2 linked regions of the Alligator mississippiensis genome follow. The protein of the gene in region 1 purifies or fractionates together with the protein of each later gene. This does not show direct contact. Links are inferred from orthologs where the notes say so. Each region holds a gene or a part of one and is shown on either strand. Other genes may lie near its edges. The genes, in order: SLC7A14 and GOLM1.

Evidence for each region.
Region 2: the proteins of SLC7A14 (region 1) and GOLM1 purify together in Homo sapiens (co-immunoprecipitation; 3 studies listed by BioGRID and IntAct, with this or other methods). This does not show direct contact. The link is inferred for Alligator mississippiensis from reciprocal best matches to the Homo sapiens genes SLC7A14 and GOLM1.

Annotation. Positions count from the first base shown.
Region 1 is NC_081830.1:75,001,778-75,009,528, reverse strand, and holds the start of SLC7A14 (probable cationic amino acid transporter), read left to right. Parts: upstream 1-4,667; 5' UTR 4,668-4,766; intron 4,767-7,751. UniProt on the Homo sapiens protein: Imports 4-aminobutanoate (GABA) into lysosomes. May act as a GABA sensor that regulates mTORC2-dependent INS signaling and gluconeogenesis. The transport mechanism and substrate selectivity remain to be elucidated.
Region 2 is NC_081826.1:204,365,012-204,372,988, reverse strand, and holds the start of GOLM1 (Golgi membrane protein 1), read left to right. Parts: upstream 1-4,878; 5' UTR 4,879-4,964; intron 4,965-5,248; exon of another isoform or gene 5,249-5,355; intron 5,356-5,366; exon of another isoform or gene 5,367-5,509; intron 5,510-7,977.

The sequences.
Region 1 (7,751 bases):
TCTGGGGATAGAGGATATTAAAAAGCCTTGAGGAGCTAGAAGGGAAATAGGCTCAAACTATTTGCAATGTCATAAATTAATAAAAGCCTGCAGACATGTAAATAGTCCAGACAGCTGAACATCCTGTAATGCTTATAAGGTTAGGACTGTTTAGTTACATAAGGGTTATAAGAGGGGTAAACAAGATAATGAAGGGAAGAGAGAAAAATCAATTGGGTGTTCCTGCTTATGTTTATTCAGTGTTAGAAGATAACATGGAGACAGCCTGAGCAACTGGAAAGGCCATATCCCTAAATCTGCTTGATACAGTAAATGATTAACTTGTGGAGCTCATTGCCACAAGATACCATTGAGGCCAAGACCTTAATAGAGTTCAAATAAAGATTTGCCATTTAAAAGAATGGTGAGAATATTGTCTGTGATTACATAAAACTTTGTAAAATAAATCATCTCTCCTAATTTGGTACATAATCCACTGACCACCTGGGCTTGAGAGGAATGTTTGCATAATTGCCCATTATGGGGATTCTCATACTGGCCATTTTCTGAGCAGGGATATTGGTGTGTAGGGATCATTGGCTTGGTATAGAAAGTTTTATGTCCCTGACAGATCCAAGTTTATCCAAATTTAGACACCTTTAGACTTTAAAGAGGCATCTAGGGAAATTTTAGATTTCAATGAGATTTAAATAAAGTAACTAAAGAAAAAAAAAAGGATTAAATCATCAAGAGCTTATAAGGGCTTCAGACAAAGAATCATTCCTTCATTATAAAAAAAAGGATATGGGGTCAGGAGTGGTCTGGATGGCTAGTGATAGCTAATGTTGGATGAAGCAGGAGCAAACATAGAGGAGCTAAGCTGCAATAGAAGCCTGGAGAAATGCTACAGCAAAATGACTGAGAGCAATAGGGGACAGGAGTCACAAGGGGATTAGAAAATGAAAATGATCTTTTGATATTGCAGAATGTGGATTTATTTTAAGGCGGTAGTTTTCAACCTTTTTTCATTTGTGGTCCCTTAAAAAAATTTGAATGGAGGTACAGACCCCTTCGGAAATTTCAAATGGAGATACAGACTCTTTTGAACTGTAAGTGTGTGTATTCTCATACTTTTGATTGATCATAGTCATTTTTCTCAGACCCCTTACGCACAGTGTGCAGACCCTCGGGGGTCTGCAGACAACAAGTTGAAAACCACTGCTCTAAGGCATACTCAGTGTCCCCTCTTTCAGACACCTACCAAAATGTACACACACACCTGCGAAAAAAGTACACTATTGCCAGGTAGCCTCCTTACTGAGCAGTTCTGGTCTCACTTACAACAACCTGCCCAGGTAAAGCCAGTGGAATTACTCTGGATTTACAAACTGGAGTAACTCACAACACAATTTGGCCTGAATTGTTGACAATAACCATCATTTAAGAAATATATATAAGATATAAGTATCATATAGTCACACACTGAACAGGCACAAAGGAATTTGACATGAGCATAAAAGGCTCACAACACTGAGTTCTAATCCATGAAACTATTAGAAGTACTGTATAATCATACAGAGCACCACAAGAAGTATTTTTCTTTTGCTTGGATTTGCTCTCCTCCTACTCTATGCTTGTCTGTATAGCAACATCAAAGTAAAACTCACAAGATCAGGGATCAGCAATTGCACACGGTACGTTTCATTTTGTTGCCCATGAACTGAGTCAAAAAGTGAAGGGCGTGGAAGTGAAAAAGAATCATATAAACAGCAGAGAAACAAGAAAGGAACCATGAAAGAATGGAAAAGCAGGGAAAACAATCCAAGTGTACAAAGGGCTGCATCTCTAGCTCTAAGCTTTGCTCTTTTTAATACTACTAAAGAACAAGGAAGACAACAAAATCCACTGCATGGTGTTTGCAAAGCTGTGAGTTGTGAGGGAGATCAAGGATTGTTCTGTACTTCTATGCTTGAGATGCACCTTTCGGTCTCACTGTCCAGGCCTGCAGAGTTCAGAAGTTCTACAAGAAAGGAACAATTCGTGTCATTCTGTGTTGATACCTCCAGTTGACCAAGAAACAGTCTGGAAGGGAATTCTGTTTAATCTTTGTCAGTTGGAAGTATGGCGGTTGCTTTAAGGATGAGAGGAATATGAGTTAAAGCCAAGAAGAGATGCAGAAACTATGGGACAGATAGGGGACTGGGAAACTATGGTCTTCTGGGAAGCCATAGAGAATACCACTCAGCATATGGCCTCATGACCTTTATGACTCATTGGGAAACTATAACTCTAAAAGCTATAACTGTCCCTAGAGTTTGTGCCCAAGAGTCACTGTTGCTGAGACACTATCCATCATGCCCTATTCAGGGAAGGCAAAGACTAGATTCCTAAAGAGAAAGGAGCTCACTGTTGTTTTTAGTCATGAATCATTTTTGTTTCAGGGCCTGGAGAAAAATAATACCTGCTTTCCACATCTTTCCAGCCCAGCATACAGACTTGACAATGGCCTACATTCAAATTTATAGCTCAATATTTTTATGGAAACTGAATTATTCAGATATTGCTGACAAAGCAAATCAAACAGAGTATGACTGCTCTGCAGCAGCTGGAAATGAGGACATCTGGATTTCATGTCAAAATGGCAGGAGCATAGAAGCACAGAAAATTAGAGTTGGAAGGGACCTTAGGAGGTCATCTAATCCAACCCCCTGCTCAAAGCAGGACCAACCCCAACTAAATCATCCCAGCCAAGGTTTTGTCTAACCAGGTCTTAAAAAACTCCAAGCATGGAGGTTCCACAACTTCTCTGGGTAACCTGTTCCAGCGCTTTACTACCCTCCTTGCGAGAAAGTTTTTCCTAATATCTAAACTAAACTTCCCTCGCTGCAACTTGAGACCGTTGCTCCTTGTTCTGTCATCTGACATCACTGAGAACAGTCCAACTGTATCCTATTTTGAACCCCACTTCTGGTAGTTTAAGACTGCTATTAAATCCCCTCTCAATTTTCTCTTTTCTAGACTAAATGAGCCCAGTTCCCTCAGTCTCTTCTCATAAGTCATGTGCCCCAGACCCTGAACCATTCTCCATGCTATCCACTGGACTCTCTCCAATTTGTTCACATACTTTATGTAGCGCGGGGGGCGGGGGGGGGTGCAAAACTGGACACAGTACTTCAGATGTGGCCTCACCAGTGCCAGATAGAGGGGAAGAATCATTTCCCCTACTCTGCTGGCAGCGCTGTCACTAATGCAGCCCAGTACACCGTTAGACTTATTTGCAGCAAAGGCACACTGTTGGTTCATATTCAGCTTATTGTCCACTGTAACCCCCAGGTCTTTTTCTGCAGAGTTGCTACTTAGCCAATCGCCCTCCAGCCTGTACTACTGCATGGGACTGATCCATCCTAAGCGCAGGACTTTGCATTTGTCCTTATTGAACCTCATGATATTTCTTCTGGTCCAGTCCTTCAGTTATTTGAGGTCTCTGAATCCTAGCCCTACCCTCCAGCATATCTACTAGTGCCCCCAGCTTGGTGTCATCTGCAAACTTGCTGAGGGTGCGCTCCACCCCATGTTCCAGATTGTTTTCAAAGATATTAAACAAATGAATAAGGGAAAGTGGAAATTTATGGAAGGGTTCAAAGAAGGTGGCAAGAATTCAGTGCAGACACTAAATGAAAAAAGGCAATGGGAAATACACTTGATCTGAGCTGACAAGAGGCTGAGAAGCAAATGACCGACAAGAGGCCGAGAACGTTCATCGCAGCCCAAACTTCCCAACACAAAACAAGAGTGTGTTCAAAACCTGGCCCTGTATTTGGCAAGTGGACCCTATCTTTCCAATAAGGCAAACCACAATCACCGACCAAAATGTAACACAGTGGGCTAGCGCGCAAGGAGCAGGCGTTGAGGGGATGGGGAGTAACTTCAGACCAAGCCCCAGCAGATCCCAGAATCTCTTTCCGTGGGTCAGGACTAAAGCAGGGAAAGACACAGCGTCCAGCATGTGACCGAAACGCCTTTGTGTGTTTGAGACATTCAAGAGGCAGTTGGATAGATACCTGGCTGGGGTATTACGATCCCAGCGCTCGTTCCTTCCCAGGGCAGGGGCTCGGACTTGATGATCTGTTCAGGTCCCTTCTGACCCTAGAAGCCATGAAACCTGTGGCCTGAATTGTACAGGGTAGCCGAGCTCCAGGAGAGGAGAGGAGAGGAGAGGAGAGGAGAGGGGCCCCTCGCCCTCTTTGAGAGACCTCACGCTCCCTCTGCAAGGCACCTGGGAAAGGCCATTCCCAGGGCAGGCAATGGGCAGCTGCCGCGCCAGAGACAGATGCTGGGGGCACAGGTGAGCGGCGCAGCTTCCTCCGCAGCCCCCAGCGCGCCCGCGGCAGCCAGACCCCGCGGAGGGTCGCAGTGCCTGGTGTGTCTTCTCGCAAAGATGGGGCGTATCCCTTGCGCCGAGGCAAGGGCAGGGCTCGCAGGGGCAGTGCGAGACCCCGGTGCGGGGCGGGCAGGCGGGACCTGCGGCGCGGGCGGATCACGTGGCGGGGGAAGCTCTGAATAATTGAGGAGCTGCAGCGCCGCCTCCCCGCCCGCCCGCAGCCCGGGCTGGAGCCAGCCCGCCCCGCCCGCCCGCCCGCCCGCCCGCAGCCCGCTGCAGCCTCGGCCGGCGGCAGCGCGGAGCCGCGTCTCCCCGCGCACGCAGCTCCCCCGGCACCGAGCGCACCGCGCCGCGCCGCGCCGCAGCCCTGCCCTGCCCTGCCCTGCCCAGCGGCCTCCCGCGCCGGGTGAGTGCCTGCGGGGACGGGGGACCGCGCACCTGGGGCTGCCCTGTGGGGCGGGGGTGGCCACCACTTTCCTGCTGGGGCGCAAGCGGGATGCAGGGGGTCTGGCCAAGTTGGGAGGGACGCTGGGGTCTGCCCCCAGGACGAGGCGGTGTCCCTGTCCCTTTGCTCCCCTTGGCCAGCGAGGCATCGCCGCGTGGGCCCGTCTCTGGGGGGGCGTCTGACCCCAGCGCTCTTTCCCGCCCAGGGCAGGGGGTCGGACTCCATGATCCGTTGAGGTCCTTTCCAACCCCGGCATCAGTGAATGGATGTCTCTTTGCTTGCTTCTCTTGGCTGAGGGGCCGCCAAACGGAGGGGGGGGGGGTCCCAGGGACTCGTGTGGGTCTCAAGGCTGCGCGGTGAAAGGGAGCAGGGGACGTGATGGGTTGAAGTCGGATGAGCTCAGGATGAATAGGAAGCCGAGCGAGATGCAGAGCGAATGGATAAATACCAGCGGATCTGACAGAAACGGTCCAGGCCCAGCGCTGCTTTCTTGTCCTGGCTTGTCTTGTCCAAAATAAGACGGTGCTGAGAAGGGGTGTCCAGGCCTGAAAGGGCTATAGGATGTCAAGGAGGCAGGTAACGGGTAGGACAGGAGAGAAAGAGATTGTAAAGCAGGCACAGAAAGTGAATGGCTGGTTACAGCTACCTGGCAGGCTCGCCGTGTGATTTATCTCCCTTGCCGTAAGACAAGTCCTCCTGTGGAAAGGGACTGGACGTCATTAGTTGCCGGCAAAATGGAGAGGCCTCAGAGAAGGGCTAATTTTGCTTGATGTGAAAAATGATTCATCTCCTTTTTTTCAAAAACCTGGATTGTGGTTGATGGACTTGAAATCTGTTCTTGTCATAGCCACAAGTTCTCTCTCTGTCTCAGCTCATTAGTCTGAGATATAATTATCTATCTATCTATCTATCTATCTATCTATCTATCTATCTATCTATCTATCATGGAAGTTAAATAGGTTAGCTGATGGTTTCACAGAATTTTGGGGATGAAAAGGGCTCTATAAAGCTGAATATTTATTTATAAACATGGGTTGAAAGAGCCCAGAAGTGCACTACAGAATAAGTAGTAGATGTGGGCGCTGTTCGAGGTGCTGAAACCCTCATTTTTCACATCAGTAAAAGGCTCTGCTAGCCAGGAATATTTAAAGTACAAACACCTTTAAGTTAAGAAAGCCATTCTATGGATAACAGGAAGAAAACAGCCTGACATTGTTAAGAAAAGGATGAGCTCCCAAATGTGTGGCTTGATGCTCCCAGTTTTCAAAGAGTGTAAGCAGTAGTGGTCACATTCACCCTGAGGTGACTCCAGGGTCCCATCTTACCTGCCATATAGCCAGCCCTTTTCATCTGCTTAAAATACTTTGAAAATCCTCCCATTTCTGTTCAAAACTAGTTAAACAGGAGGTCGCTTTCTCCTCAGGTACAGTCTTCTCATGGTTTGCACAAGCTGTTTTAGGTTGTTGTCTGCTGGGTTCCAGTGGAACCTCTGAATCCTGTTCCTCAAATCCTCCAAAATTTTAAAAAGTTAAAAAAGCAATAGTAACATTTGCCACCCCAAGGGAAAACTCCTGTCCACTGATGCAAATTGGCCCTGCTCAGGGAGGTATGGCTTAATGACATTAATCTGGCCCATTATTTAACTCATCCTCTCAACATTCCCAAGTAGTAGGCAAGTAAATTTTACCATGACATTTGTTCAATGACATTGTTCAATTTGTCATCTGAGTTTGGTTAATGAAAGTAAGTGCATAGATGTATTGTATTTAACTTTGTGTAAGGTGTTTGACTGAACACTGACACCTTCCAAATAAAAAAAATAGTACCAAACAATATCATTAGAGTGCACATTATCTAGCTTAAGACCTGACTAACTAACCAGACTCAAAAAGCAGTTGTCATTTGGGACTATTTGTTGAATGGGTGGGTTTCTGCAGTTCCTTGGGGATCACTACTAGGCCCACTGCTACTGCACATTTTCATCAGCGATCTTTAAACAAACATAATCACTTTTGATAAACTTTGCAGATAGCTCAAAGATCAACAGAGTAGCAAATAATTATGAGGGCAGGAAAATCAAACAGTAATTTGGATCACCTAGTAAGCAGGTCCCATTTAAACAGAATGTTTTAATATCCCCATATATGAAGTTATTCCTCCAGAAAAAGGAATGCAGACTACATATGCAGAATGCAGTGACTCTAAAAAAGATCTGAGGAGACAAGCGAGTTAAGTGCCACTTGAGGCAAAAGGAGCACATTAAATATTTGTATAAACAGGGGAGCGGTGACTTGGAGCAGGGAGGTGATTTTACTCTTGCACATAGCATTGTGAAACTGATACTGGGACATTGTGTACAGTTCTGATGTCCACATTTTAAAGAGGAAGTCTGAAAAATTAAGAGACTTCAAGAAAGTGTCACCAAATAATTTGAGGGGTGGAGAAAATGCTGTACAGTGTGGGAATGTCTACAAGTGCATTTTAATGCACAGTCAGCTATTTTACTGCTTATTAAAGTATCACATAAAAAACTACAATGACAACTAATGCACAGTAAAATAGGCATCACATTAAGTATCACTTAAAAACAGTGCACATTTGTTACTGCATATTAAGGAAGCCTAATGCACATTTCTTTAGTCCCTCACATTGGAGTACTAAATTGAATGTGCATTAGAAGAAGCACCTTAATGCATGTGTAGACATGCCCTGTGAGAACTAAAGAGATCCACCTGCATAGATAATCAAAAAGATGACTGACGGGCACATTTACGATATGTAAATATCTACACAGGAAACAAATACTGGCTACTAAAGGGCTGTGTTTTTCCTAGTAAAAAAAAAAAAAGACAAAGACAAAAAATGTGCAATAGGAACAAACCAGAGCCAGTCAAATTCAAATTAGAAATAAGACACAAGTTTTTAGTAGAGGATGTGATTAACCAT
Region 2 (7,977 bases), on another chromosome or scaffold:
GTATACTTAGATAGACAAGGAATGAGATAGAGACAGCTCCTGGTGAAATTACAATATTGGTTGAGCAACTGAGCAGATCGTCATTAAGAAGAAGGAAGGGCCTCTTAACACTGGGTTTTTGTCCTGATTTGGTATTTGGTGAGTCCAGCCCCTTTTAGATATATCCCTTCTAAAGAACTTTTGTTTTTTTGGTTCAGGGAGGAAGAACATTAGCACTAAGTTTATAGATGTCAAAGAGAATTAGCAGGCATTACTACCACGTGTGGGACCATTGGTAATGCATAGGGGGTGCACACAGTTGCAAGTGCACTCCGTGAGATTGGTGGTGCACCTCCAACAAGTGCTGCTGATGCTGCTGGTGGTGCCTGTGGGCGGTTGCTGCTCACCACCTGCCCTTGCCGCCGACTCTGCTGGTGACGTCTGCAGGTGGTTGCCAACTGCCAGTCAGCGCTCGCCACCTCTTCCCCCGCTGCTGACACTGCTACGGCTGCTTGCAGGAGCTCCTCGCGCATTGCTACCGCCGCTGCCTGCAGGCAGTCACTGTGCCCCCCAGCCCCTGGGGGCACGCGTCGTTCATGTATGGGACCCTATAATTTACCATCTTTTTTTACCATGATCCTTACAAATGTTCTGACAAGGGGTAAAACCCTGTCTCCACTGAAGTCAATGATTACATTTCCATTGACTGCACCCAGGATTTTGGCTAAGACAGAAAGAGCAAGTTGAGGTCATTGTGTTGGCTAAATCTTAAACAATAACTCAGATGTGAACACAAAGTATCTACCCTTACACAATCTCTAACTTGTTTGTTTCTTTCTTCACCTTCATCCTTTCTTTTGCACTTTTTTCCTTTTGTCTCTTTATCCTTGTGTAATAAGAATTTAGCTTAGCCATTCAGAACAAACATCACTTTGGCTATGACCAAAAAGGCAAGCTATACACATTGCTGCAACATTCTGATTCAGTATGCCAAGTTCTGGAATAGGTAATAAATTCACATATGATAAGCTGTGCCTGCAGTTTTCCAGTCACTGGAAATCACTGTATCTGTTACAGACAGAAACTGTATTTTCTCATGTGCTATTGTTCTTCCCTCTTTTTGTGCCTATGTGTGTGCATGTCTAATACATGGACAGAACAAGGAAGTTCAAGGTTAAGACTAACACTACATCAGTAACTCTTAGGTATGCTTGGTTGACAACTTAGTTTAAGGGAGGAGTGAATTTCAGTAGAAGTGACCTCTTACAAAGGCATTATTGTATTCTGGTAACAGTGGTGGATACACGATTCTGAAAAGAAGGTATTTTCTGTATTTTGTATATATTCCATGAGGACAGTCTCCAAGACCAATAAATATAATATTGCTTTCCTATATAGCTAACTTTCACAAGGACCCTATGTCTTTTACATGATCAAAATGTGGCTTTTAGGTGCAACGTGTGTGTAACTCATCCTCCTGGGTTTTAATAACATAAATTATTTACTGCCTAATGGCAAAATTGGCAGGATAAGAGCAGAGAGCAAAGTTAGAAGACAGCAGAATGTGAGGAAAAAGGGAACACATTATTTTGCATAGACTTAGAACTTTGATTCATTAATGGAAATGATAGAAACCTTTCATAAAGCACAGAATATATAAAACAGGCCTGATAAATATTTAAAGATGCTAGACTGTACGTGTCAAGCATTTATATGTCAGCTACTTCTTGGAGTCATGGTTCTTTCTAAACTTTAAGATAATCTTTTCACATGGATGAACTGTCCTTGATCAATTTGCATAGTGTCTTTAAGCAGAAACATATTCTTTCTTCAACATTGGAATGCCTTTTGCTTTGTTTTTTTTTTTCTTAAGGGGACATATTCGTTTGATCAGCACCTACTCTTTAGGTAGGTGCTGTGTTTAGGCTCCGATGTAGCAGTAGCAGTGCTAATTGATGAAATGAAGGCTATGCTTTTCAACCCTAAGGACTTTTACATGATACTTCTGCTCAGCAAGTGGCTAGCATTGTTAAAAGTTTGAACTTCTAAGAGTGAAATTGGTTTTGCCTCAACTGCATCAGGGTTGTACCTACCTACTAGGTATCTCAACTGTGACTAGTCCATAAATAACCATTACTAATATTATGAGAGTCACACCTCTACTGAAAGTCCTACTCCCACTCCTTCCTTAAAATGGTTAACCTTGCTCCCAGTCATCTTTGCAGCGATATTCTTACCTTGCTGCACCCTTTTTATATAATATTTCCATGCATACAATTGGCTTCATTTGAGAATCTCATTGACACAGGCTCCAAAGAATTTTTACAATACTTTAAAAGAACAGTGTTCCTTGTACATCTTCAAACGTATGCTGTTAAAGAGTACAATTCTAAGGTAAAAACCAATTAAAAGGGCTATCCTTTTAATTTTAAAACATTTTGAACTTTTCCCTCTCTTCTTTTAGCTTGAAAATGTGAGGAGAAATCCTGGCCTTGCTGAAAAGTCAGTGGCATCAACATGCTAGGATTTGATGTGATATTTTTTCCTAACTGATTTTATCCTTTTCACGTCTAGCAGAGAGAAAATTAAGATGCGTTATCAATAGAGTTACTAGGGCAGACACTCAGCTGAGTAACACGAGCATGAAGAGTAGGCGCATACAGTATTTGAGCACACCTTTACTTATTATATTTAAATTGCCTTGGGGCAGGAATGAGTTTCCATTGTGCTAAGTGCTGTACAAGCATAGTAAAATGTCCTTGTCTCATAGTGTTTTAAAAGCACAGCACCTATTATAAAAAGGCTTATGTCTGCTTCAGGTTGGTAAGGATTTTGGAGGGGTGATATAGCACTACATAACTTTAGTGTGATCCAAGGAGTATTTCATCATTTATGTGGGGGTTAAAAATCCAGTTTCTTATTCAAAATACAACTCAGTATGTGTACGTACATGTGTGCTGGGTGGTGGAAGCTGGTGATATAGCCTGCTAATTTCACAAAGAAAAAAGCTCCAAGGTAGGGAATGACATCCGCCAGATAGCTTAAAAGTCTGAGGACACAAGGGACATTACATTGAAGATGATCCTTTAGGTATTTCTTTTCACTTACAGCCACTCGAAGTCCAGTTCCTTACTTTGAACAATCCAATTAATAAATATGAATATAAATTTATATAAATAAATTCAAATTATTTTGGTTAAATTTCTATTTTTTTAAAGGTCTTTGGATAAGAAACTGGGAATGAGAATCCAGATCCAACCTGACGGTTTTTTGAAGCTTGGCACTGCAGCATATGAATTTTTATTAAACTGTTCGTTCCAACAGAAATTGGAATCTTTTTATTAAACCTCCTAGGTAAGAATCCACAGGAGACATTTTATCTCAAAATAATTTATTTCTGCGAATAATTTTCAAACTTCTTCACATACTTTATTGTCCACATAATGATGCATTTGAGTAGTTTTACAAGCTTCTTTCCCTCTGCTGTTCTATTCTGTCTGTCCCATCTTGAAAGGAAAACAGGATGTGGAAGCAAAGCTAACAAATTGGGGTTCCAACTGGTTGAGGAATGGTTGCTGTTGCACCCCTTCCCTCAGTCTTACACACTCATAAAAAGTTTGTTTTTCACCAGAATTGTAGTGAAAGTTTTACATGATTCCAAAACATATTGAAAAAAAATGTTCTGAATCAATTCATGGTGTTACATAAGCACGTGAAATACTCAGCTGCATCCAGATGGCTCTCTTCCTCAGAAATGTAAATAGTGTGGACCCCTTTTTTTCTAACATTGGCTTTTAGTTTTCTGGGTTGTGTGGATGCTCCGTTTGTCAGACATTCATGTGTGTCAGGCATCAAGCTCAAGATACTGAGGCCTGCCCAATCAATAATAATTGTTGAAAGCTTGGACTATAGCAGTTATTTTTATTTTTTTTTTATGTCTCTCTCAATTTAGACTGCAGACATACAGGCTAGGGGATGGTGCTGGCTGGTGATGTAACACATTTTAAAACATGAAGTTTATTACTCTTCAGAACGTTAAAAGGAAATATTCCCTCACACAAAGCTTCAAGACATTAGGAAGAATGGGATAATGGAGATTCTTTTTCCCCCAACTGTAAGTCTGTGGTATGGATCTAGCTGGCATTAATTGAGTTGTTGCTTTTGTCCATAATAAAAATCACACCAGTGACACTGTAACAATAGCAGTCTTGGCCTTTTTGGAGGGCTTTTGTGAAACCAGGGTCTGAAACCACAAGATTTGATTGTAACTGGGGCTCATAACACTCTTAGCAGGATTAGCAGCAGCCAGTCCTGATAGTCTCAAGTCAGGCATTAGGCAGGAGACATTGGTTGTAAGGGTTCCCCTGCTTTACCTGTGGCAGGTGAAGTTGTTGAGGCATGTGTTGCGTCAGGGCACAAGGCAGTCTTGTGAAGTGTTTTTAGATCAGCGATTCCCAAACTGGGTCTTGACTCCAAATGAGGTTGCATATATCAGTGGATGGGGTCATGGGGGTGGGGAGCAAGGGGTCATGCTGAGGAAAAGGGGCCATAAATGGAGAAGAAAAGTTTGAGAAGCACTAGTTTAGATGAAGGATGTGTGTGGGAAAGTTTAGACAGGGATGGTCCTGCCTCAGGCAGGGGTGCTGGACTAGGTGACCTCTGGGAGGTCCCTTCCAGCCCGACTTCTCCCAGGGCCATGAACGATGCATGCCCCTGGAGTTTGGGGGGGCCTGGTGACTGCCCACTGGTGGCCACAGCAGTGTCAGCTGCCGGGGGAGGGGGAGCAGGGGAGGCGACTCGGGGGGCGGAGTAGGCGAGCGCTGACCTGCAGTCGGTGACCACCTGCAGCGTTGGTGGCAGCCAATCACGGGGGGTGCATGTGCACCCCTACGCCTCGCCCATGCCCTAGGAGTGTCTTTGGGGCACCCCCTGGAGCAAGCTGCTGCTGCTGACCAAAGCTGATGGACCCAGCTCTGCTCTGCAAGGTACCGATCTCACCCCGCTTTCCCTCAGCTACAGCCAAGGGCCAGAGCCTGTGGCCAAGTGCCTCCTGCTTTGCCCAGGCCAGGCTGCCAGCGGCATCTCCCCCGCGCGGGCTGTGCCGAGCGGCCAGAGCCCACATGGCCGGGGGGAGCTGGCGGCGGGCACTGAGGCGGCGCCGGGCGGGGAGCCGACGAGGCGGCGCGCTGAGGGGCTGTCCCGCGCCGAGGGAGGGGGGCGCCCGACCTGGCCGCCATTGGCAGGCTGCCTTCGCCCTCCTCCCGCCGCACTTCCTGCGCTGCGCTGCGCTGCGCTGCCCTGCCCTGCCCGCGGCGCCGCCTCCCTGCCGGCCGTGGGGCGGGCGCGCGCGAAGCAGCCCGGCCCGGCTTGGGAGAGGTGAGCGCGGCGCAGCGCCCTGCCCGTCCACCCGCCGCCCCGCTCTTTGTCTCGGCGGAGCCGCAGCTCCACGCCAAGCCGCGCCAAGCCGGGGGCAGGGGGGACTCCCCTCCCCGGCCCGGCCCGGCCCGGCCCGGCCCCGAGCAGGGAGAAGGTGACTTGGGGGCGGGAGCCCGCGGGAAACGAGCACGCCGGGGCCGGGACCTCCGCGCGGGTGCGGGTGCGCGGGGGGAGGCCGCCTCTTCACCTGCGTCTTGTGCGGGGGACTACGTGCGTGTGCCGCGTGCACTCGTGTGTCTGTCGTGTGTGTGTGTGCATGTGCACTCATGCCGATCGTGCCCTGTGCATGTGTCAGTCATGTGTTGTGCTTGCACACGTCTCTCGTGGGTGTGCGGGGGGGGCACACACCTGTTGCGTGTGCGTGTTGCATGGGCACATGCATCTCATTTGGGTGTGTTGCGTGGGCGTGCATGTCTCGTACGTGGGCACGCGTGCACCTGTCGTGTGTGCACATGCGTGTCACACGTGTGGGCGCACCCGTGTCTTGTGTGCGCGTGTGTGCACATGGGCATGCTCGCATCTCAAGTGTGTGTGAGCGTGCTCACACATGCATCTTGTGTTTGTGTGTTCGTGGGCGTGCTCATATCTCGCGTGGGCATGCTTGCATCTCGCGTGTGTGCGTGGGCAGGCATGCACCTGACACGCGCTTGTGTGTGCGTGAGCACACATGCATCACACCTATGTGGTTGTCCACATGTCCACACAGGTGTCTTGTGCGTGTGTGGGTGCGTGCTCGCACATCTGTCTATGTGGGTGGGTCTGTGTGTGTGGAGAGAGGCGCTTAGCCCTGTTAGCCTGAAATCCAGCGGAGGGCAGGGTAGATCTGCACCTGTGTAGACCCATGTAGGTATAGACTCAGCCTTAGACACGAAGTGGATATGTGTTTGTGTCATTCTCCTCTTCAGCTGCTTCGTTAGCCTCTTCAGGAAGTCTGTCTGTGCTGAAGAGTGGCAGAGCTTAGCATTGTCCAAGTGTGGGCTTGGCTTACCTGAGTCTTGGTTCAAAGAGATGTATTTTCATGAATGTGGTTGGTGATGACATTAGGTATATAACAGCATACACCCAGCTACACCCCTGTGCAACTTCCCTTCTGTGTAAATGCCTGCTTTAGACAGACGATATGTACAGACATTCACTCTTCCAGGAGAAGCTCTCCTGCGAGCAGTTTAACCCTGATTTGTTCCCAAGTTATTTTTCTCCTGGGGAAAAAAAAACTATTTTGGGAGAAGAAGCCTAAGCATGTGTATGCTCATGGTTTCTCCTGACAGAGTAGTGGCTCTCCCAGGAGAAACTGAATGTCTGTACAGCACTCTCTCTGTAGACCTGTTTTGGATTTTTAAAGTGCAGTACATGTAGAAGGTCTGTTTTTCTTTCAGCGTTGGGGCTGATAGAAACATGCTATTTCCCATGATGTAAATGGTTTTATAGAAGGAAGAAATCTCTAGCTTGTAGAACAGAGCAGTGGTTTTCAGTCAGGGTGCCATGGCATCCTGGGATGCCTTGAGATCCTTTCAACAGTACTGCAGGGTTGCATACTGTGTTAGCACTGTTAGGTGTGCAAGCATCATCCAAAAGATAAACTCAGAGATTGCAAATAGGAATCCACAGTGTTAAACACATTCTGACCTGTTGTAGTCTTTCAGGGCTCTGTGACAGAAGAATTACTATATTTTTCTGTAGTCCAAAAATGAGTGACAGCTAAGAGCTAACATTTTATGAGCAGTTCTTTAACACTATATAGGGATGCTGTGATGCTAAGAAAGCTGAGAACCACTGGGACAGAGTAATGGCTTTCTAAGTTGTAAGCGGCATTTCTCATGTAGAAGATTCCTTAATTTCTAAGGAATTGATATCCATTTGTGACAAAATATTCAGCAGCATCAGTTCTGAGTAATACTGTAGTACTTCATTTATATTCAGCAAGCTGTTAACCTCATTAATGAGCTTTTTTGTACCTTGGAGTTGGATAAAATATCATTCAGTCAGCTATCTGCCTCTTGTAAACTTCCTTATATCACCCACCACTGAGCCTTGCCTCTTTTTAACTTTGCTTTAACTGGTATAATACTGATATTTGTTACTGAGGGAAGGAAAAATGCAGCATAAAATTACATATAAACTTCATTTGAGAGGAGTGGTTGGATTAGTTGGCCTCTTTGGGGCACTAAGTGAGAGTACTACACTGAGCTCTTAAAGAACAAGCAAGCCTCTTGGAAGCAGGATATAACATTCTTGGTGGGTTACTGTACTCTCTAAAGCAGTGATTCACAACCAGGGTGTTACTGGCATGTGAGAGGGTAAGTACATAAGGGCAGGTTTGGGCTCTCCCTGCCTGGCTGCTCCTTTTTCCTCACTGCCTGGCCCTTCCTCAAGATGATATGCACTGTAATAAGGTAGTTTTGTGAATTGAGCTGCACCCCATTTAAAAAAGTTATGGACTGGTGCCTCTAGTCTACAAAAAGTTGAGAACCATTTCTCTATAGGGAAACTCTCAAATTGTACTTCTGAAAACTTGCTTGTTGCAAGTAGCAGTTCAGATCACAACAACAGTTGTTTTTTTAA